Drosophila melanogaster: one gene and its partners. The main gene of each other region encodes a partner of the protein of the gene in region 4 in a complex. Each region holds a gene or a part of one and is shown on either strand. Other genes may lie near its edges. The genes, in order: Nup358, xmas, Nup153 and Nup205.

Region 1 (4,833 bases), on a different chromosome or scaffold from region 4:
TGGCAACTCTGCTGCTCACGCTTTCCAATACTGGAGTGTGTGTTGCTTGAGTTCAAAATTTATTCTGACTTTATTCGTGTATTAGCAATAAATTTTATAAAAAGCAAACGCTACACAGTCGATATTAGGCATTACTACTATTACTATCATTAAAAAGTTCGCCGACGTATGACTACTTAAATATTGTTATGTTTCTTTTTAAGACTAGCCATTTTTATTAAAACTTGAGGCACAATAATGTAAGCATTAAACATAATAACGAATATATTTTCGAATAACATTTCTTTGCGTATTCTGTTTTTTAAAAGTGTAAAATCTTGGAAAATTCTTCCACTGATTTTTGGTCATACTAAAATAAACATTTTTTTGGCGCCGGCTAATTGTTGCATATATCCCGCGAATAACAAACAATATTTATAGAAAGATGCGATCTGTCATCGAGCCCGACCACAGCATCCAGCTTAATGAAGCCATCTACTGCTACGATATATGCACCAATGACTTTGCCTACAACCTAATCGCAGTGGCCTTCAGGAAACACTTGAGTCTGCTGCTCGTTGGACTGCCGGTGGGTTTCCATGCATAAGACCAGTGAAGGTTGAATGATTTTGAATGGTTAACCCTTAATCCGCAGGAGGAGAGCGGCGAGTTCGGGTACACACGCCTGCAGGACATGGACCTGGGCGAAAAGGAGCAGCGGAGCGTGAGCGCACTGGCCTTCTCGCCGGACACCTCGCTCAACTGCACGCCCAACAATGTGACTTTGTGCGCGGCCAACGGCAGCCAGCTTAAACTATACCGCACCGATCTGGGCCAGTTCACCTCGCTCCAGGTGCTCCGTGGGCATGGGGACTACGTCAACGATGTATCCTGGGTTTGCGACGGCGAACTGCTGGCCTCCGTTAGCGATGACTTCACCTGCAGATTCTGGACGACGACAGGCGGCGGGGAGAATGTCATAACCTTTGGCCTGTCCTCCGCTGGAATGTCCGTCAAGAGTCACCCCGAGGATCCCAACAAGGTTCTTGTGGCGGAAAAGAAGGGTGTGCTTGCTATTACCAGTGTTTAGCCCGCGGTGTAACTAAGGAAACTCCTTGCAGGCATCATTCATCTATACAATGTGACGCTCAAGCAGACAGTCATCTCCGTGGAGTCGCCCAAATTCCCCCTGATGTCGGCGGACTGGGCCCACAGCAACCGGCTCTTCATCACCTCGCTGGCCGGCGGAGATGTGGTTACCTGGGACCTGAACCGACCCTATGTGCCCGCGGATGTCAAGCAGGTCCACGAGGATTGCGGCCGGGTGGTGCGCTTCGCGCCAGGCAGCTCCGAGATGGTTATCGCCATGGTCATCGGGCTGACTCTCAAAGTGTTCGCGGCCAAGTCGACCGTTCCTCTGCTGGAGGCCTCCCTGAAATCCTATGGGGGAATGGCCTGGCACCAGCGATTGCCGTACATTAGTGCGGTTTCCGATAGGAAACTGCTCTTCTGGAAAGTGCAAATGAAGTAATTTATATAAAATTGTATGAATAATAAATAAAAGAATATAAAAAATATGATATAAAAAAGATTTATCAGAAGAATATCAATGATCTACACTCTATTTCTATATTTATATTTCATAATTTCGTTAAACTATCATAAGTTTTATATTATTCTTGAACCTTCTTTAATTTATTTATTAAATCCCTTATACTTATTTGTTTGTTCGAAAAAAAATCGTAGCAATCGATAGTTGCTATAGTCATTAAAACATCGGTGACGCGATATATTCGCGCCCATCGATGAAAACGCGTAGTCATCGTTTTTTGTTCCAGCACTAAGTTTGCACAAATTTTTTGGTTTCCGTGCTGTTCAGCTTAAGTTTTAATTGGAATTTAGTGATATTTACGTTCCAATCTACACCGCAAACGAGTGCAGTTTGTTGCGACTGGAATTGCCCATCCGAATCTACGTGATTTTCCGGCCGGGGCAATTAACCGTTCGAGGAATCTGCTTCAATCGGATGACGAGTGAAGAAGAATCTAACGCGAAGCACATTTTTGCAAGGTCTCGTCCACTGCAAATTGGACGTGTTTAAAAAAGTACAGATATGTTTACAACGCGAAAAGAAGTGGACGCACACGTCCACAAAATGTTGGGAAAACTTCAGCCGGGAAGAGAGGTAAATAAACGGCCAAAGTGTGCATCGGAATTTCCAAAAAGAAAATCATTGCGAAATCTTCAGGCGCCGCCATTGAAAGCACACCGTTGTGTGCGTGCGGCGTCTGCTTGTGTTTGTGTGTGTGAGTCGGCGTCACTTGGCCGTCGTTTTTGAGATTGAATAAGAAATTGCGCGCTTTTCTTTCAACGGCTGCATTTCATATACTTGACAAATAGAACGCTTTTTTCGCAGCTGCATGGCTTTCGCCTTCTCTGTATAAATCAAATTAGATATTTGAGGTTATGTGTACCATATCAATCTGCTAGAGTGAGCGCTGAATTTGTAAGACCGCCAAAAATAATTCGAATTTCCATTGTGGATTTGAATGATTTTTTGCGGTCTAACGTAGCTCTATCTAAATAATAAGCACACAATAAGTCAAATCTTACAAAGTTATTCTTATCCAGCTCACAGTGATTGTCTAAAAATTTAACAGACTTTTTTGAACCTAACGTACTAATCAATAAAATGTATATTGTAGCGCGATATCAAAGGCTTGGCTGTAGCTCGATTGTACATGAAAGTTCAGGAATACCCAAAAGCCATCGAGTATTTGAACGGCTATCTCCGGGTGAGGGACGACGCTGTAGGCCATAACATGATTGCCACTTGCTACAGTAGGCTGAACCCGCCCGATGTGACAGAGGCCCTGCAGCACTACCAACGTTCTATTCAAATTGATCCGCGTCAGTCAGAGGTTGTCATTGACGCCTGCGAACTTCTGGTGAAGGAGAACAACGCATCGATCACGGAGTGCGCCAGGTACTGGTTGGATCAGGCTAATAGCCTTGATTTAAGCGGCAACAAGCAAGTCTTCAACCTGCGAATGCGTGTAAATCTTGCGGACAGTAACGGCGAAAGAGATGACACCAGTGGCGGAGACGGCGAGCAAAATACCCTCGAGATTCTTATGTACAAGGAGCTGCAGGCGCGTCCCCAGGATGTTAATATACGCATACAACTGCTGCGCAGCTATGTTGAAAAAATGAAAATAGACCAGGCCTTCAACTATGCTCTAAAAACGGAACTGGAGTCGAAAAACTGCACGAGCCAGTCGAACGAATGGTACGAGCAGATCTGGATGGTCCTTTTCAAGATAGAAATGGCCAAGGATGTAAAGAAGAACTGGCGATTTTGGCACTTCGCCTTGCACACTCTCGATCGTCTCGTGCAGCTAAGCCTGGAGGGCAGTGGACTGGCAGACAGCAGCAAGCAGTTGTTCAGACTTGATCAATATCTATTCAAGTTTAGCACTTCGATAGAGAGGTCAGGGGACGCTCCGCAGCGGGATCTCCACCAGGCTTGTATTGACCACTTTACCGGCCAGCTTCTGCTTCACGCGGTGACACTGATTTTCAAACGTGAGGTTCTGGCAAACAAAAACAAATGGATGAGCACGCTTCGCTCCGCTTTGCCACTTCTGCTCCTTGGTTACCAGGTGCGACCGATCGATGATTCGAGTACCAACCAATGGATAAAACACTGCGACGCGGAACAGAAGCAGTTGATACAGATGTGGCGCCCTCAGGGCGCCTTTCGATGTGCCCAGCTTGGACGAACCCTTTTGGGCTGCTTGGACCGGTCACAAATGGAAATTAAAAACGATAGAGAAAATGCCGAGTTTGATGAGAATAAGAATTCGGGAAATTCTATGCCGGGATTATTTGCCGACTCCGAAGAGCTGTTGGCCAGCGCTCACCAGCAATGCTTGGACAAGAGCTGGCGAAGTCAAATTTACCAACAGCTCTTTACCCACGCCGAACACAAGCTAAAGGATACGTCTTCGCATCTGGTGCGGAACCTGCGTCTGCAGCTGCCTCTTTTTGAGTGGCCGAATCTGGCGCATATCGAGAACTACGAACTGCAAGCGTTGGTGCTGCCGCCACACTCCTTAGCCCAACATGTCTACCTGGCTCTGGGCACCGACCCGAACAAACTTGGAGATGCGCCACGCGTGGTCTTTTATGAGGGTTTCCAACGGGATGTTAAGCAGAATCTAAACTACTGTGGGCAAGATTCAATCAGCCAGGTAGATGTGGACCTCTACCTTTATGCCACAACCATTCAGACCAGACGTAAATTGCAAATCCAGCGTGAGGTGTATGACTCCTCCAATTTGGGAAACCGCAATGCTGCCGCCCGGCCACATATGATGCCATTTGCCAATCTAGTGGGTCAACTAGGCGCACCGGAGCAAAGTAACTGGTGGGATCTGGTGGTGCGACTTAACTCGAACCAGCTTATCACTGAAGGCAATCGCGCCGAGCAACGAGCTCAACTACAACATGGATTGGAAGCGGTGCGCGGCGTTAATGGCCCAAAAGCAGATGCCATCATCATTTTTCAATTGGGAAAGATTTTAAATTCCCGATCGGATCGTTCTTCTCTAGAAGCGCGTATCGATACCCTGTACAGGCAAGGATTTTCAATTTTACGCCACCAACACAACCAGCAGATGGAATCCTATGTCCGCGTCTTTAAGTACGGATCCGCCGGCTCAACGGCAGCATGGCAAGATCTTCAGTCGTTGGCTGAGGAAGCCGTCACCTATTTTAGCGAGAAAATGTTTAGGATTGGACAGTATGAGCAGTTTTTGGACGAGGTCCGGGGACTTCATCTGCCCATGGCCT
Region 2 (4,839 bases), 2.7 Mb from region 4:
AACGTCGCCGAAGCAGACGGTGACCTTCATTTCGTACTTTTCGTGTTAACAATAACTATTATCGTCTTCGATCTGCGATAATAAGTATGTATTTTTGACTGCTGCAATGCACTTTTTATTTTGCACACACATATATGCACTTGATTAAATTGGGCGATCGTTTCTTTAACTTATTTTTTTCTCGAATTTTTCGGATTTTTTCCTATTACTATTTTGTATGCAGCTACTTTTTTTTAACGCTATGCTCGTCTGCCTGCAGCAGCTTTTTGTTGTTCTTGTTGCTGTTGTTGTTACGACCGCATCATCATCATCGTCGTCGCTTTCCAGCTATCGCCATCCTTGTTGCTCCTTTCGCGTGCACAGTGCGCTTGTTGTTGCTGTATTGTTGGTTGTTAGGCAGCTGCAACAAAAGTTGGTCTAGGGCGGCATGGGTGCGAGCGAGATGGCTGCGTGCCTGGAAAAAGGATCGGGATCGCTTTCCAGTATGTACTTGTAGTCGCTCTCGCGCGCTCTCCCTCTCTGTCGCTCTCTGGAAACTGGAACTCTCTTTTGCTATTTACTTAGCATATTTCACCGTAAGGCATCGTTGTTATTGTTTGTTTTGTTGTGTTTGTGTGATTCATACACGCGCGCATTAAAAAAAACGAGTTACAACAACGGCAACCATAATAACAAGAACAACAAACAGCGGGCCAAGATCATTTATTTACTTCTTTTTTTAACGTTCTTCGCTCTCGCTCGCAAACTTGGCATTTGTTTTGGTCAAATTATTATATATTATGCGCTGTAGATTGCATGGTTTTAAATTTACGGTTCGATCATCGTTTTTATATCTTTTCTGTTACTCTCTTTTAACGTTGCTTTTGTCGTGTTTTTCGTTTTCGGTTATCTCCTTTTTCGCCCGTTGGCGTCGCTTCTTTCTTGTTGTTTATCACTTTCAACTATTCATATTTCGATTGCAAGTGGAATAGTATCGTTGACCGCCACTCTTATTAACGAACTATTTGAACTCAAAAAAATGCAAAAAAAATCCACGAGCAGCGCGTTGATTACTGCGCTTCGAGTTCGAATTCGCCCTGGCGAGCAACAACAAATGACCAAAATTCTGGGGATGGCAGGCTCATCGATACTATCGGAACAGCAGCTTGGCTTCTTCGCGGTATTTGGTTATACTTTACTGGGCGGTCACACTACTGCTCGTTATCTCCCGCTTATTTTAAAATCAGGGATTGGGCTAAATGCCATCTAATTCTGCAATAAGTTTTATTGAATTTGCATTGCTTTATATAAGTCAGCCTATTAAATAGAGATATTGATTAAGAGGTAATTAATCGTCTTAAAATATTAAAGTGTAAAGATGAAAATATTTCTTATGTAAGCTATGTATAAATATAAAATACTAGGAACAACCAATTTCGATAGGATTAATTGTATAGTCCTAAGAACGACAGATAGTGTTATCAAGATCGAGGAGTTTGAATCGAGAGCTTAAAAGAGAATAAAAAGAACTTAAAAAGATTGCTACACCTATATATATATTCATATATATATAAGATAATATAAGAAGATGTTCGATTTCATTCAACAGTTTAAGGAACGCCCCAAGCATTTCCTAATTTCCTAAGAATATATGTTTACCAACTCCTGTTAACATTTTATTTATTAGGCAAATACATTCATCTCGAATGTAAAACATTAAAATTTTCAATTAAACCTGAACGATATTGTGTGGGTGGGATAGCCATTGCGGTATTTTTTTCGCGCCATTTTCAGATTTGCGTTATCGATTACCGGCAATCGCTTGACGGCAATATTGTAACAACAAAGCACACATTCGCTCTCATTCAGCTAAAAAAGAAACTAAAAACCTTAAACTATATTCGATCGATGGCAGAACCCCGTCCCGGCGGCTACAACTACAAGACATTATTGTGAGTAAAAGTTCGTTCATCAAAGGCAGAGCGATGTCAACTATAGTTCCATACGAATCCCCAGATGCAGAAACATTCCGGAGCTATTTTTGGACAAATATGTGGCGCGTTCGCACTTTGGACGTTTTGGAACCCTCGTAAACTTCGTCCTGCGTCCGCGGCGAATGACCTGCACCGTAAGCTATGCCAGCGAGGACGAGGCGGCGCGGGCGCTTCTCGATGGCGCCAGCTTTCAGGGTCACCTGTTTGATATATCCTATGCTGATAACGAGACGGCGCCGGCACAGAAAACGGAGGAGTGGGTGGATCCTGACATTCAGGCGGAGTTGAGTGCACTGCAGTCGGGCTGGCGCAATGAGTATGGGTCGGGCAAGCCGATAAAAAAACCACAAAATGGCAGCAGTGGTAGCGGTGGCAGTTCAATGCTGCCTGCCATACCAGTTGGGCCCGCAACGGCGCCGGTGAGCAGAGATCGTACGCCTGCCCAGCTCAGGGATCTTGAGAACATGATGCGCAGACCCGCCCATACAAGCGAGGAGAAGTTCAGCGTGCTGGATGCCCGCGATAAGCTGCTCCGGTTGAACCGAACGCAACACAAGCTGTCCGGTGCCACCCAGGGTCACTGCGCCGATATGTGTCCGGAAAAGGAGCGCGTGCTGAGAGAATTCCAGCGCCAGGTAGCCTACTATGAACTACAACCGGGCTCCGATGAGCTAATCTGTCACGAAAGAGCCCTGAAGCAGTACTCGCGCAGCAGTGCCGACCAGGAGACGCCACTGCCGCATGAACTGCGCAATGAGACTGCCCTGCACATGACCATGAGCTATCTAATGCATGAGATCATGGACATTAGCGAGCGCCAGGATCCGCAAAGCCATATGGGCGATTGGTTCCACTTCGTTTGGGATCGCACGAGGTCCATCCGAAAGGAGATCACCCAGCAGGAGCTATGCTCTCTGGGCGCTGTGAAGCTGGTGGAGCAGTGCGCCCGGTTTCACATTCATTGCGCCGCCCGTCTGGTTGACGCCGATCCCAGCGTCTTTGACAGCAAGATCAACGCCGAGAATCTAACCAAATGCCTGCAGACTCTGAAGTACATGTACCATGACCTGCGGATTAAGGGCGTTCCATGTCCCAAAGAGGCGGAATTCCGGGGCTACATTGTGTTGCTCAATCTGGCCGATGCCAACTTTCTCTGGGACATCGGTCAGCTGCCCGCGGAACTGCAGAGTTGTCCCGAAGTGCGTCAAGCCATTCAGTTCTACTTGGCCCTGCAGGACACGAATTTTGTGCGGTTCTTTCAGCTGCTGGCTGACAAGGATACCAGCTACCTGAGTGCCTGCATCCTAGTCAATTACTTTACGCGACTGCGCGTGCTGGGGTTGCATCGTCTGATCCAGGCGTATAGGTCTCCGCGGAAGGATGAGGTGTCTTCGCTGCCTCTCAGCTACATCGCCGAGCTGCTGAGCTTTGCCAGCGAACAGGAGGCGGCGGATTTTGTCCAACACTATGGCCTGCAGATCAACGAGGCGGGCAGAGTTGTGCTAAGCAGAATGCACACGGTGGAGACGGAGTACAAGCTGCCGCGACAGTATGAGGTAAGTAAATGGTTTTCTTTTTTTTGTTTTATTAATTTGATTTTTATTATCCACTTCCAGTTGGTGGAAGTGAAACGCGTGAAGAGCGTGGGCGAAGTCGTCAGTGGGGAACCTTTACCACCACGAGACCTCTACCTCAATCACCGACCGCACAATAGCTTCGACGATTATGGAATGCTTAAGAGCATTGCATGGACGGCCAAGGATCAGCTGGCTGGCATGCAGCAAGAGGAGATGCAGCCACAAATGCCTTCGCAGCCACCAGCAGTCTCAAAACATAGCGATACTTTGTTTAAGGTGCCCATGCAACCCGACGGAACGGCAGCAGGGTTTGGAGTATTTGCTGCGGCTGCTGTTCCGCCAGCCTCCTCCATCGATGGATTCAGTTTTGTTCTTCCCAAATCACGTGCTCAGGAGTTCCAGGAACAAGCTCCGGCTACACAGCAGCGACGGGCACAAGAAGAGGCCAAGCATCAGGCCCTCCAAGTAGCCATTGCCGCTGCAAAGAAGCGGGAAGCTGAGCTAATGGCTATTCACGAGGCCAAAGTGGCCGAGGCTGAGCGAGTGCGTCAGCAGAAACTCAGGGAACGCCAGGAGCAGCAGCGTCGCCAGCAGCAGGAACTGGAGGAACAACGCCAGCGGGAGCAGGAGAAACTTCAGCTGGAAAAAGAGAGGCAACTGAAACTGGAACAGTTGTTTTTTGTGCAGCAGCAGGAAAGGGAGGCCCACAAACAGACCAGGACTTTGGAGTTGTATCAGGAAATATTCCAGGACACCCTCGCGGAGATTTGCCAAAGCGAGTTTATGTCGCATAGTCGGGCTTGCCGTTCCTACGAATCCATGCTGGACTCAATAACACGCGATCTCGTCGAGCGGCAGATGGAGCAATCCATCTACGAACTAGGCGTCATGAGGGTGTGCATCAGACGATGGCGGAAATATCGGCGAACGCAACAGGAGAAGGACACGCTATTTAACCAACTGCCTTTAAGTTTTGGAGCCGAAAACCCCGAAGGAGTGGTGAACAAACGAAGCATGGAAGATTCACTGCGTCTAAGCAGACGCTATCGACTTGGCGAGCCCTGCGATTATGGCAAACTTCTGGCTGGCCTGGAGGAGCATAGTTGGCTGAAACTGGATCTGTGGCACGTTTTGGACAAGTGTCTGCCGGTAGCGCAACCAGGAGCTAGACGCTTCTACAAGCTATTGATAAGCCTGTCCGGCGGCCAGGAGGGTCTCCAGTTGAACTGCGATTTGGATAGGGGACTACTGCAGCAGCCACAGTCGCCGGATGCTCGTTTTGTGGATGG
Region 3 (4,732 bases), 3.3 Mb from region 4:
ACCGGGTTTCTTACTGCCACCTTGGCCCACAGATGTCTCCGCAAGACTGCCGGAGTCTGAAGGTCGCATATCTACCGCTTTCATACCGTATCCAATACCACCAGTCATGGAAGCATGCAGCTGATGCGCCGGTGAGCTGCCGGCAGAATTGAGTCCCAACATTGAGGATGCGGCGGATGAGCTAAGATTGCTGCGACTGAAGAGGCGATTGTTGCCGGAATTGCCCCCGAAGGTGGTGCGTCCCTGGTAAAAGGGCGAGCTAGAGGCAGATGCAGAGCCTGAGTTAGAGGCACTGCCACTAAGCAGACGACTGTCGCTCAGTGCCGACGTACTGCCGTATATGGACGCATTGAAGCGACGTCGTTGGGTAAGGGAATTCAGCGACCACGTAGAATTCCGATGCGATTGCTGTGCGGCGGTGTTGCTTCTGTTAAATATTGACTTGGAGCTCTGCAGATTTCCGTAAAATTCTAAATTGCTGTTGCTGTTGTAATGCGACGGACGAAGTCCGTCGTGCCCTTCACCATTGTCGTGGTATTCGTTCATATCGCTCTCGGACTGCGAATCACCGCAACCTCCTGCGGCCGCAGACAGTTCACTTCGTCTTGTTTTTGTCTCAATGACATTGTTGTTGTTATTATTATTATTATTATTGTTGCTAGTATTGTTGTTGGTCCTGCTTATTCTCAGCAAATGATTGAGATGTTCTTCCGAACTCATGGCCGGGCCAGTCCCCGTCTCATCCATGGTAAGATCGCGTCGATGGGTTTGCTTGCCTATGAGCGATGGTCGCTTGTGGTTAGGAAGGCTGGATAGGCTGTTGTTGTAGCTGGTAGCGGTGCTGCTGCCTCCGAAAGGTATGTTCAGTGAACGGCGGATGCTAAAATGATTTAAATGATTGCCTTATAATTTTCACTAAGGTTTTCTTCTTTTTCGTCTTGGCAATAGCCTGGCTATGCAACGCCCAAATTTGAGTTTGTTTGAAACGAGCTCTAAGGTAGTTATCTTTTTGAATTCCATATTAACACTTTTAGTAAGCATGACTGCAGTAACATACCTGTGTGGCAGATCCCCGGTGCTTCCCTCGGCAGCTTCGTTGCCCGTGAAAAAGTTGTACGCGGGTTCGCGCTGCCGTTGACTACCATACAAATTGAGGTGATTGCGCCGATGTGGCGCAATGTGGCTGACGCCCTTGTACATCTGGGAGCTGGAGGAGCTGGTGGCAGCCGCGAGCGGAGCAGCAGGCGTGGATGACAAAAGGGGCAGACGACGCATGTTCGGCAAATTGACGGGGGTCTCCAGCTGAAAGGGATTCAAGATTAGTTGGGAAATGTAGACAGGATTGAAGATGTGATCTTACCTCCAGGCGTCGACGCTTGGTCTGCACGGCGGCGGACTGTTGGAGATTCTCCTGCTCTTCATCGTCATCCTCCTCATCGCCATCCTCGTCGTCCTCTTCCAGTTCATCCTCCTCGGCCTCATCCTCGTCACCGCCGGCAGCTGCAACAGCCCCGGCTCGCTTGCGCAGCAGGAACACATTGTACTCGCTCCGCCGCGTCTGTTCATCCTCGGCGGCCAGGTCGTGTTCGGCTATGTTGTCGGCCAGGGCCACCTCCTCATAGTTGAGGCCTTTGGCATCGGAGCCGTCATCAAGATCATCGGCTGCATCGGCATCCACTTCGGCTAGCATTATCCGACGGCGTCCTCGTTTCCGCTTGGTAGTGAGGCGTCCATTGGACTGGCGTGGCTGTGACTGGCGGAGATTAGCTGGGGAGGATAAGGCATCGTTCCCATCTTTGGACGACGGCGAAAACCAACCGCTCAAGGAGGCGGGCAGAATGCTGGACACGCGCATCTTCATCTTCCCCATGATGGACTGCAATTGCAATTGCACGGAAGTTGGATATTTGATGGGAACCAAGTTATCGTCGACTGTACTTACGTTGTTGCTGTCAGACTCCCGTAGGGCTCCCGCCGAGGATTCATCCTCTTCCTCCTCCTCCTCCTCGCTTTCTTCAGGCAGCTCCTTGAGCGGCGTCAGCGGATGCTTTTTGGCCAATTCGGCTTGCGAGGATTCCCTTTGCTCCTGTGCATCCTCCATTATGCCGCTTTAGATTCAGACTCACCTTTTTAGCCGGCGAAGCAACGGCACAAAAGAGAGATGCAAAAAAAACGCGAAAAAGAAGCGTTGCCGCACACACAACAAAAAACGTAAGTAAAAAAAAAAACCAAAAAAAAAGCACACACTGTTGCAATTCCTGCGAGCTAGTTTGTATGTGTAGGTGCGGATAATGTTCGCTCACTCGCTTCGTTCTCACTCTCTATCCTGCCTTCTCTCTCTGTCTGTGCGTGTGCAAAGGTGTGAGTGCGCTTACGCACGCCGTCGTGGTTTTTTTTGTTCGCGTTTCGCCGAGGTTTTACACACGCCGCGATATTTTTAAATAATATTCTGTTTGGCGCCACAAACTGGTCGCGTTTGATCAGGATTTGACTTCTTGGCCACCAATGAAGAGCAAATTCTGGGCACAAGCACTGCAAAATTAGAGGCGGGAAAAAGGATTGAATACCGAATTCGGGCGAAGCGCTCGAGGTTCTTGCTTTTGGCTTTGCCCTTACCGCTTTCCAGCATGCCGCCCGTTTTCTTCAATATTTGTTTTACTTTTGCCGGATAGATTTGATATATATTTGATATATTTTCACCTTCCTTTTGTCTTTGTGCTTCTTCCACTTCTTCCGCACACACTGCTTTCGCAATTCTTCGTTCCTCTTCTTCACGCTCTGCTCACACACACACGCGCGCAGCGATTCGGTACGAATTTTGGCGTTTTACCGCCGCGAAATCCACACTTTTAATTGCAATTTAACATTTGCCGCTGGTCGCATTCAGGTTTTCCATTGTTGCACGAGAACACGCACCACCGATTTGCAAGAAACAGAATTTCAAAAGAGCACGATTTGATTGGGGAAAAAACGCGTGTGTGGCCACAAAGTAGAGCTGGAACCAAAATCGATGTTTGTCAGATACTATCGGCGTGTCGGGCAGCGTGTGCTAATCGATACGTTGCCTGCAGCTATCGGTTACATGCACGTTTACGGTTTGGAAGTCTGTAATTATTAAATATTTTTAATTGGTGATGAACTGCCATACGGGCTTATTACTCAAGAACCGCTTCAAGTGCGACTTATAACATATGTAACCATTTGCTTGTGTTGTCATTTGAATACTAAGCATTTGCATTGACTAAAAGGAATTCTCGTTTGTATCTTTAAGTTGGAGTGAGGTATTTGTTTAGGTTTTTACTTGGCTGTGTGATAATGCAAAAGTTTAAATACTGTACTAATGTTAATCGATAGTTGTCCTAAAAAGAATTTCCAGCGAGTTAAAATTCAGCGAGTGCTAGAGTGACCACAGATTCTGCATTAGAAATAAAGCAAATATAATAAACGAACATAATATGAGCGCCAAATATAAAAGCCCTTATTAAGGTGCAAATATGACAAAGAAATTATACAGTATAAATGTTAAATAAATCTTAAAAAATGGGTTATAGGGGAAACCATATTGTTTTGGTTCAATTTTAGCAAGCCATTTTAAAACAACTTGAATTTACTACTAGATGAATCAAATATGTTACCTCTTAACGTCTAAGAAATTTACATTTTTAGGGCTGGAAAATAAATACCGCTAGTCGATATCGTCATCTTCTCAGTTTTGCCATCCCTAGTTGTTGTTATTGTGTTCGTCGTGTTGTTGTAGCACAGTTGTTGTTGTTGCTGCTGCTGGGCAAACAAGTGTTAAAAACTATTTGTGCTGCAATATTTTCAGCAATTACCGACCGCCCTCGCCGCTGTTCACCACCCAACTTAACCAGCAACCCAGATTGGAGCAACAAAATCCACAAAGGCATAAAGAATCGACTTACACAATAAAACCTTAATCGGTTGGGTAAACAACTTGATTGCTGTGAGCAGCCAGTTGGGTTAATCTCTTCGATTTGTCAAGTCCAGCAACAATGAGCCAAACGGAGGCTAGCAAGACACCCAAGATTCCGGACTCGGAGCCGGACGGATCGAAGGGCAAAGGGAAGCAACAGCTGGAAACTTACCGGGTATATGTGGTCACCTGGAATGTGGGCAGTCGATTTCCGGATAACATATCCCTCCGCCATCTGCTGGGACTGCAGGATGTGACGGTGGATAAGGACACGAAGGAGACTAATGCCCACTTGCCGGACATCTATGCGTTGGGGCTCCAGGAGGTCAATGCCCAGCCGCAGCAACAGGTGTTGGGACTGTTCAAGGAGGATCCGTGGACGCACAAGGCTAAGGAACTGCTACGCAACTACGACTATGTGGCCGTAAAGACCGAGCAGATGCAGGGGCTGCTGCTCAGCATGTTCGTGAGGCGGCAGCACGTTGAGCACTTGCAGGACATCGAGGCGGAGTTCACGAGGACCGGTTTCGGTGGCATTTGGGGCAACAAGGGCGCCGTCAGTGTCAGGTTCACCCTTTACGGCTGCGGACTGGCCTTTGTGGTGGCCCATCTGACTGCCCATGACCATATGATGGACGAGCGCATCGAGGACTACAAGCAGATACTGGAGAACCATCACTACCACGTCAAGCGGTATAGGGAGATCTACGATCACGACTATGTCTTCTGGTTTGGCGATCTGAACTTCCGACTGCAGGGCAGCGATTCCTCGACGGAAGTGCGCGAGTTGGTACGCGA
Region 4 (7,874 bases):
TAATGACCGCCACCTGCTGCAGGTGGCCGAGGTCCATATACGGCGTGGCCGAGCGCAACATGGCCTCGACCATGTCGATGTGGGCGAACAGAAAGTTAAGCACCTGCACGGCGGCGGAGTTGTTGCGCGGACCCAGCGAGTTGACAATGGCATCGCAGAGGCTCAGCGCCGGCAGGAGGATCGACCGGAAGCGGTCATCGATGGACGGGAGGAAGGTCTGCGGCTCGTTACGATTCAGTTCGCTGGACTTCAGGTCGGGCTGCTGGTCATAGACCTTCATATTCGAAAGCACGCCCAGCGCCTGCTCGGTGAGGAGGAGCCGGGCTCCCACATTGCTGTTCGCCATGCGCGTGAGGAAGGCCATGCGCGACTCGTAGACGTAGAGCGGCCTCAGGTGATCCGGCACGGGCTGCAGAATCCCGCAAAGCGCCGTACTGGACTGATCAAGGCTTTCCAGTATGTGCTTGAGGTAGCCACGCGATGCCACAAAGTCGCATAGCGTGCTCACCGCCTGCAGCTCGGAGATCATGTCCAGGCAGGCCAGCGCCAGCATGCGGCACACATCGTGGCCGGTCACCGCATCGTGGCAGATGGTGTCGATCAGCTTCTCGCCGAACGTGCCAATCACTTCCGCCGCCATGGCCTTCAGCCGCAGGCGATCGTCGCGCCGCTGCTCCTTGTTGTACGTGCGTGCACTCTCCTGGCGCGAAATCAATCTGCAATGAAATAGAATGAAAGCTACAACTGCCTGCTACTGCTGTTGAGAAGGATACACTTACGTCTCCTGGTACTCCAGATGCTCGTCGGTGCGCAGTCGCTTCGCGATCCGCAGGCAATTCAGCAGCGAACTGTACAGATTGATGCGCAGCTTCTGCGACTTCACCTCACTGATCATGATCCACTGGACGAGGTTCTTGAGAATGAATCGCAGATTGCTGCTGTTGCCACCGGAACCGATATCCCGTCCACCTCCACTGCCGCCATCCGAACCAGTTCCGATTGCCCTCTGGCCCAGACACAATGCGTTCACCTGCGAATCGTTGCCGATGGCGTTGCCATTGCCATTGCTGAGCGAATCCTCGGCGGCCAGATCCTCGGGGCTCTGGTCCTCGGCCTGGTAGCAGCAGTAGCGCAAATTGGCAAGCAGCAGCAGCACCGTCTCGCTCACCTGTACGGATATCTCGATGATGGGCTGTATGGGCTGCACCTTGATGAGTACCTTCTCGACGATATCGATGATGTGCTGGCGACGCTGCGTCGCCGGAAGCACGGCATCGGGCATGTTGCTAAAGAGCACCTGCACCAGTTGACCCCATGCTGCCATGAAGGCCAGCGTGGCGCAGCGCTGTGTCCGCACGCGATTTATGTTGACGGCGTGATTGAGCAGCAGCATGATTTCCGTGGAAATGGCCTTCCGCTGGCCGCTGGCAATGATGCTCTGCACCATGTACAGCTCGTCGGTGAGAATGTAGTACAGTTTGCGCACGTTGATCAAGTTGGCCCTGGAATTGGCGCCAGCTTCGGCGGATGCCTCGCAGTCGCGCAGCAGTTGAGTGATCAGATGCCCGTCGAAGAACTCCAGCTGCGGCTGGCTCAACGTGCCCGCCTCCAGGACGAGAATATCTAGCAGTCGGGTGACATGCAGTCCCTGCGATGTCTCCTGCAGCAGCGATGGCTTAAGTGATTTGACCCCAGTGTTTGGAGCTCCGAGAGACGCCGAACCAGCCCCATGTGCCACGGCACTTATCGATCCACCGGCCGGTAGCACATCCATGGCGAGGAAAGACGACGACGGCTGTGAAATCAGGCTGTGGCCCAATTCCATCGACAGGCCATGGGATGAACGCTCCATTCCGTTTCCAATTAGCAAAATGTCGCACATCTGGTTGAAGCGCGTCATCTGGCCATGTTTGGCCGCCAGTTTGACATCGATAGAGACGCAGTTGAGCAGGTGGCCCATGGCGTGCAGCACATGATCCTCGCGATGCTGCCGGAAGGGCAGCGAGCGTAGGTGACGCAGCAGGAAGTCGCTGCACGTTAGCCGGAAGTAGCGCAGTATCGTCTCCGCGGTGCGGCGATTGGCGCAGAGTCCATGGAACAGATGGTAAATGCGCTCCACGATTCTCGCCGTGTGCTCGCAGTACTTATCGCTGTGACGCTGTTTCTGCAATATCAGAGATTGATTTGATTGTTAAAAGTTGGTAAGTTAGTTAGTTAGTTAGTTAGTTAGAATAGATAGTAATGGCCAATGGCTTTCAACTCACATCCATGTACTTTTCCAGCAACAGCACTACGGAGTTCACGCACGAGCTTTGCATCTCGATGGCCAGGTGCTGCCGTCCGTTGGCCATAAATTCGCGCAGCACATCCACGCCGAGCAGGAAGTACACAAAGTTGGGCAACTGCTGGCTAAGATTCATCTCGAACAGCTTGATAATGGCCTCTTTCAGTTGCAGCTCAATGCTAGCCGGTTTGCTCTCCAGCGCGCCATCCCCCGCCTGCAGCTCCAGTTGCGATTCAATAGTTGAATATTCGCGTTCCCCGCTCATCTCTCGCTCATTGTCCAGATCATCGCCGAATCCCAGATACGGAACGTGATTGTTGAGGGCCAGTTGGTCCAACAAATCGTCGTCGTGCTTGCCCACGCACACCTCCATTTCCAGGCACTCGACGAAACCCTGACGAATCTCGAGCTTCTCATTGCTGCCCTGACCGTACATGCTGAGAATCTGGGTGGAGACATTCGGCAGCTGGGTGACCGAAGCCAGAATCTTAATGGCGGCCAGGGCGTGCCGCGGCAGCCAGCTATTATAGGTTACATACTTAATGATATTCAGCACGTGATCGGGCTTGCGACTGCGTGGATTCAGATCCAGGAGCATGCGATTCAGGCCCGACAGCAAAATGGGGCAATTGGCCGCCGAGTGGGCCTCAAAGAAGGCGTTCTGTTTCGCCAATGCGGCTTCCAGGATCAGCAGTGCGTACAATGAGCACTCCTCGAGTAGCTTCTTGCCCTGAAAGCGATTGTAGTTGTCCAGCCGCTCACGCACCTCCTCCACAATGCACAGCAGCAGCTGCAACATTTCGGACTTCAGCTGCAGCTGCATCATAACGTGAAAGCCCGGATAGGGAGGTTCATCGACTGTCTCCAGAAAATCCATTGCGGACGGCCGATAGGTGGCCAGTAGGTAGTAGAGCAGTTTCAGGCACTGGGCGCCAACTTGCCACTTCTCGGAGGGAACCTTGTACGCGCGATTGTAAAACTTGAGCAACACCGAATTTATCATGGACTTTAGATAGCCTTCGTAGGCCGGTGTCCGTTGCCCGGCGCCCAAACTCTTCGGCAGATTGGTGGTCATCAGTGTGTAGAGCAATTGGAGGATGCCGCGCGTCAGGTTATACTGCTCCGAACGGCTCTCGATTTGTTCCATCTCCTCCAACAAACTGCACTGGGCATAGCTTCTAGACACGGGCACAGTGGGTATAATCTGCGAGGCCTCCAGGTGGAACCAGATGACGCGCGCCGTCTCCTTCGATTTGGCCAGGGCAGCCAGCGTGTGCAGAATCTCCGCCTTCAAAAAAAGCGGCGTGGCGCACGCAACCAGGCCCAGGAGCACCTGCGGCGTCTGCCAATTGGGATGGTCACAGATCATGATGCGCGAGACCTCGTCGTGTTCCGCCACCGCCTGTATGATGCCCATTACGGCCACCAGATGCTCCGCCTCTCGCTGCGTAATGGCCTTTGGTGTCGATCGGGTGCGGTAAATGGTCTCGCCGCTCATGCCGATGTTGGTGTTAAAGTCGTTGCGCATCGAACTAGAAGATAGTGATCTTCAGAGAGATCTTCAATACCAGATTTGAGTCACACTTACGTATAGTAGTTGCCCAGGGTGGTGAAGAAGTGATCCCAGCTAACCGCATACTTGCCGCCGGTGGCCATCTGGGGCACCCTAAGCATGTTGAAGGCGCATCGAGCCGAGAAATCGGTCCGTGTAAGTCCGGATATCATCTTGAGGTAGGCCTTGAACAGCGTCTGTGGCAGCAGGTCGCTGGCCAAGCTAATGAACTTGAACAGCGACACCGAGCGCGAGGTGTTCTTGAATGCCGTAGAGCCGTTGGGATCGCCGGGGCCCCAGTACTCGTTGCACAGCCTGATGGTGACGCGCGGATCGCCGTGCATCTTGGCCACGCACAGCATGAGCAGCTCAAAGTTGGAGTCCAAGTTGGGCGGCGGTTCCAGACCCTCGTTTAGGAAGCTGATGATCGTGTGTGACGACTCGTCTGCTCGGCCGCGCAGCTCCGACACCTTGGAGTTCATGAAGTCGATGAAGTCCGTGATGAGCAGATGGACGCGGCGGTAGAAGAACTGCGTGCTGTCAGCACAAATGATGATTAGCTTGCGAATCGGCAATTGACACTTCAGTTGTCAGTACTCACCTATAGACCAGATCCTTCTCGAGCAGCAAGCTGTGGAAGAAGACGAATACCTGCGCTCCCAGTGCCTCGTCGATGAGCATCTCATCGCGATTGATGATCGAGATGGCGGTGGCCTGAAGCTGCAAAGGTGCATGCCGCAGGCTGGCCAGCGTTAGTCCGAAGCTGTAGGCAATGATGGCATTCAGGCGCGGTGCTTGCCAGCTGCTCTGCGCGTACAGCTCCTCCAGGAAGCACTCGGCGAACTCGCGATCGCTGAAGATCGGAAGTCGGGTTGTGTGCTCATTGGGTTCCTCGGTGACCAGCAGCATGGAGGTATCGTACGCATACAGCAGAGCCATCAGCATGATCAGGGTCACGTCGTCCATGTTGCCGCCCGCGTCGTGGTTCTTTCGGTTGGCCAATTGGTGCATCAGCCGAATGGCAATGTGTCGCGGCAGGCCGCGTTGTGCCGACCAATTGAACAGGGCCATTGCCAATGCCTGTTGAATGTCCTCGTATAGGCCGAGCACCTGGTTCTGATGCTTCTTGGAGCCAAACGCGCGGTTTGTGGTCAGCATAGCGCACTGCGAACGTTGGACAACAAATGAATAACAATTTGCGAAGGAAGATATGCAATTTCAGAGAATTTCAGAAACAGGCGCATACAAACCCACCTCCTTGTCGACATCCATCTCCTCGAGCAGCTGCAGCAGGCGTCCCAGTATCCCAGAGCCGTCGACAAGGCTCTCGGCATAGTTAGTGACCAGACCGGTGATCTGCGTGCGTAGAACGATAATCAGGGTCAGTGAATCTCTCTTTCAGCGGCACTGCGATGCCTGCGATGTCGAAATCTCGAAACTTACCTCCTTGGGCAGTTCGGTGTTCCACGAGACGCCGCTAACCACCTGGAACATGTCGCGAAGCGTGCAGCTGATGGCCTTTCGTCCATCGTAGTAGAGCAGCACCGCGACAAGGCCTCTGGACAGGCCGGGATGATGCTTCTGCTGGCGCTGTGCGGTGCACAGCAGCTCCACGGCGAAACCCTCGTCCAGATCGAACATGTCGGACAGAATGACCGCCTCGTCGGCCAGGTCCTGTGACATCTTTGTCTTTCGCGAATGCCCCTGCATCGGGACGCCTTCGTTGAGGGCATTTCGTAGGAGATTGCGGCTCTTCTCGCTTCTCGGCTGCCGACATTTTCAATAATGGATTATCAATAATTAGTTAAATCTACGGATCTGCAAGCGCTTGTTTTGCTATACCCACCGGATTGCGCAGCAAGTTGCTGAAGTTGTGCTTGTACTTCTTGAGGCACTGCTCCAGATCCGAGGTGAAGCCACTGCGATTGGACACCGCGGTCTGAAAAGTGTTGTACAAATGCTTGTACGGCGTCCACATGTCCTCGATTACAGCTGTGGACGCATGGGTGGCATTAGTGATTTGGCGACCCACGCACATCTGCTCGTTGGCCAGGCACTCACCATCCATTTCACTTGGTTTTGCGGTTCGCTCAGTTCACGCAGTTCTTGCTGATTCGCAGTTATTGACTATAAAACGCGGCAAGATTGCTTCGCTTTGCGACAAGGCGCCGGTTACCAGGGCTGGGTGCTGCAAATACTGGAAAACACAGATGTTCACCACCGTACGAACTCACCACGCTCGTACGCGCTTCGGTGCTTGTGCCCGCTAACTGCGGTTGCTGCGCTGGCTAAACGGTTGATTCGAACCAAGTCAATCGGAAAATCGATGCTTATCGAACGATAATCGAGGCGCTGCATCGGTGCGTTGTCGCACCACTAACTAACACAACTTCAGTGCGGCGCGGGCGGGGCGTTTTCGTGAAAATCTACGCACGGACTTTTCGTAGTTACCCGATAGTAGCATCCATTTGTTTTGTTCCGATTCGCGTTTTTTTTTTTTTCTGTTCTCCGCCACTTGATTTGGCCAGCGAACGCACTGCCCAAGTGGTGTCCTGTTCGCATTGTGAGTGAATCACCGATGGCCGCGGGCAGGCTGAACTGCACCATAGTGGGATGCTGGTTCTGGCTGTCGATGCAAGTGGATGTGGAAGTGGATGTAGAAGTGTAAATGCAAATGCAATCGGCGCAGTTCGGCTGCAATAAATGCCAAAAGGGATACTAACTGCCAAAGCCAGTGCAATTGGAAGGAAAATTCAAATTTCATTGGGAATTATTCGAATTGGAATTGAATTTGTAACTGGAGTTGGAGTTCAGAGTACTTGGTACTGGGTGTGCGAGAGCGACAGAGAGGAAGAGAGGCAGTGCAAGTGTGTGGGGGTAGCAGTCACACAGGCACACACGAACATACTCACAACTCCAGTGCATAAAACTCCAAACTGCGTTCGCCTCTCTCTTTTCGTTTCGCTTGCTCTCTCCCCTACGTTCGCCCACGCAACGCCTGGCGAGCGAGAGAGAGAGCGGTATAGAAGAGCAAGGGAGCCAGAGCGAGAGAGCAAGGAAGTGGTTTTTCCACCGAAAATATGGACAAAGGCAAACTGCAGAGTTAGCTGAAAATAAAAAAAAATAAAAAAAAGGAACAAGACACAAACAGTGACTGAAATAGCGGTTAACAGCGCTCCCTTACGGCGAATCGTTGAAATTCAAGACGGAGAGCTATCGCATTTCTTCAATTATGTCTGTTTCGCTTTTCATTCCGCTGCAGTAAGCGATCGCGCGAAGGAGCAGCAATACAGAGAGCGAGATTTGGAGAGAGAGAGAGAGAGATAGAGAGTGCGCTCCCAATTGACGACTCCACTCCACTCCCACACACACTTAACCCCGCCCCCTCGCACCCGTAATTACTATGGATTGTGGTGGTATTGCGGCACATCAGCAACAACAACTACAACAGCAACAACTGCACTTACTCCAGCAACAGCTACAACAACAACACCACCAGCAGCAGCGGCAACAACAACAGCACAGCCTCGAGGAAGCAGCAACAATAACAAATGTAAGTATCTCCCAAGTTTCTCCAAATGTGTGTGTGCGTTTGTGTTGCTCGACCATTTCCTCTGTACTTCATAATTCGCTCCCACACACAAAAAAAAAAGAAGTCATAGGACAGAGTACACAGGAAGAAACTGAACTATACCTTTAAAGTACAGCTTCTTCAAATTATAGTAAGAACGGTGCAAATGGTAGACTCACATATGGTTGGTAATTGTATTAACTATAATTCTCTATTAGTGTTTTTTTTTTCGAGTGTATTCAGTATACTTTACTCCTTGGCTATGAAAATAACCTAGTTATGCAGTGCTAGGTGATCAAAAGACTTCAAATTCGGTACTCCAAAGTTGAGACTGCCCAACTAGTATCATGGATATAGTTTCCTATAGTTTGATAATATAGAAACTTAAAACTTTACCACTCCCCCCATTCGATGGGTCAAAGGAGAATTAATAAAAGCAAACGCAGAGAGCGGAATGATTAATCTTT

The links.
Region 1: Nup205 (region 4) and Nup358 share a complex: the UniProt entries of both Drosophila melanogaster proteins name them as parts of the nuclear pore complex.
Region 2: Nup205 (region 4) and xmas share a complex: the UniProt entries of both Drosophila melanogaster proteins name them as parts of the nuclear pore complex.
Region 3: Nup205 (region 4) and Nup153 share a complex: the UniProt entries of both Drosophila melanogaster proteins name them as parts of the nuclear pore complex.

Annotation. Positions count from the first base shown.
Region 1 is NT_033777.3:25,247,539-25,252,371, forward strand, and holds the start of Nup358 (nucleoporin 358kD), read left to right. Parts: upstream 1-1,809; 5' UTR 1,810-2,092; coding exon 2,093-2,164; intron 2,165-2,684; coding exon 2,685-4,833. Other genes in the region: Nup37 (nucleoporin 37kD), read left to right, coding at 425-568, 635-1,043, 1,101-1,510. UniProt on the Drosophila melanogaster protein: E3 SUMO-protein ligase. Component of the nuclear pore complex (NPC), a complex required for trafficking across the nuclear envelope.
Region 2 is NC_004354.4:17,156,263-17,161,101, reverse strand, and holds the start of xmas (xmas), read left to right. Parts: upstream 1-1,795; 5' UTR 1,796-1,887; coding exon 1,888-1,931; intron 1,932-1,995; coding exon 1,996-3,529; intron 3,530-3,589; coding exon 3,590-4,839. UniProt on the Drosophila melanogaster protein: Involved in mRNA export and mRNA coupled transcription activation.
Region 3 is NC_004354.4:16,597,524-16,602,255, reverse strand, and holds the start of Nup153 (nucleoporin 153kD), read right to left. Parts: upstream 3,016-4,732; 5' UTR 2,617-3,015; exon of another isoform or gene 2,533-2,616; 5' UTR 2,102-2,532; coding exon 1,943-2,101; intron 1,877-1,942; coding exon 1,361-1,876; intron 1,303-1,360; coding exon 1,058-1,302; intron 881-1,057; coding exon 1-880. Other genes in the region: CG9784 (uncharacterized protein), read left to right, coding at 4,014-4,732. UniProt on the Drosophila melanogaster protein: Component of the nuclear pore complex (NPC), a complex required for the trafficking across the nuclear envelope. Functions as a scaffolding element in the nuclear phase of the NPC.
Region 4 is NC_004354.4:19,850,378-19,858,251, reverse strand, and holds the start of Nup205 (nucleoporin 205kD), read right to left. Parts: upstream 6,039-7,874; 5' UTR 5,905-6,038; coding exon 5,683-5,904; intron 5,604-5,682; coding exon 5,280-5,603; intron 5,193-5,279; coding exon 5,091-5,192; intron 5,001-5,090; coding exon 4,438-5,000; intron 4,374-4,437; coding exon 3,873-4,373; intron 3,817-3,872; coding exon 2,265-3,816; intron 2,165-2,264; coding exon 780-2,164; intron 717-779; coding exon 1-716. Other genes in the region: pico, read left to right, coding at 7,240-7,389. UniProt on the Drosophila melanogaster protein: Plays a role in the nuclear pore complex (NPC) assembly and maintenance, but with limited role in NPC permeability. Required for specific nuclear import pathways such as Mad import.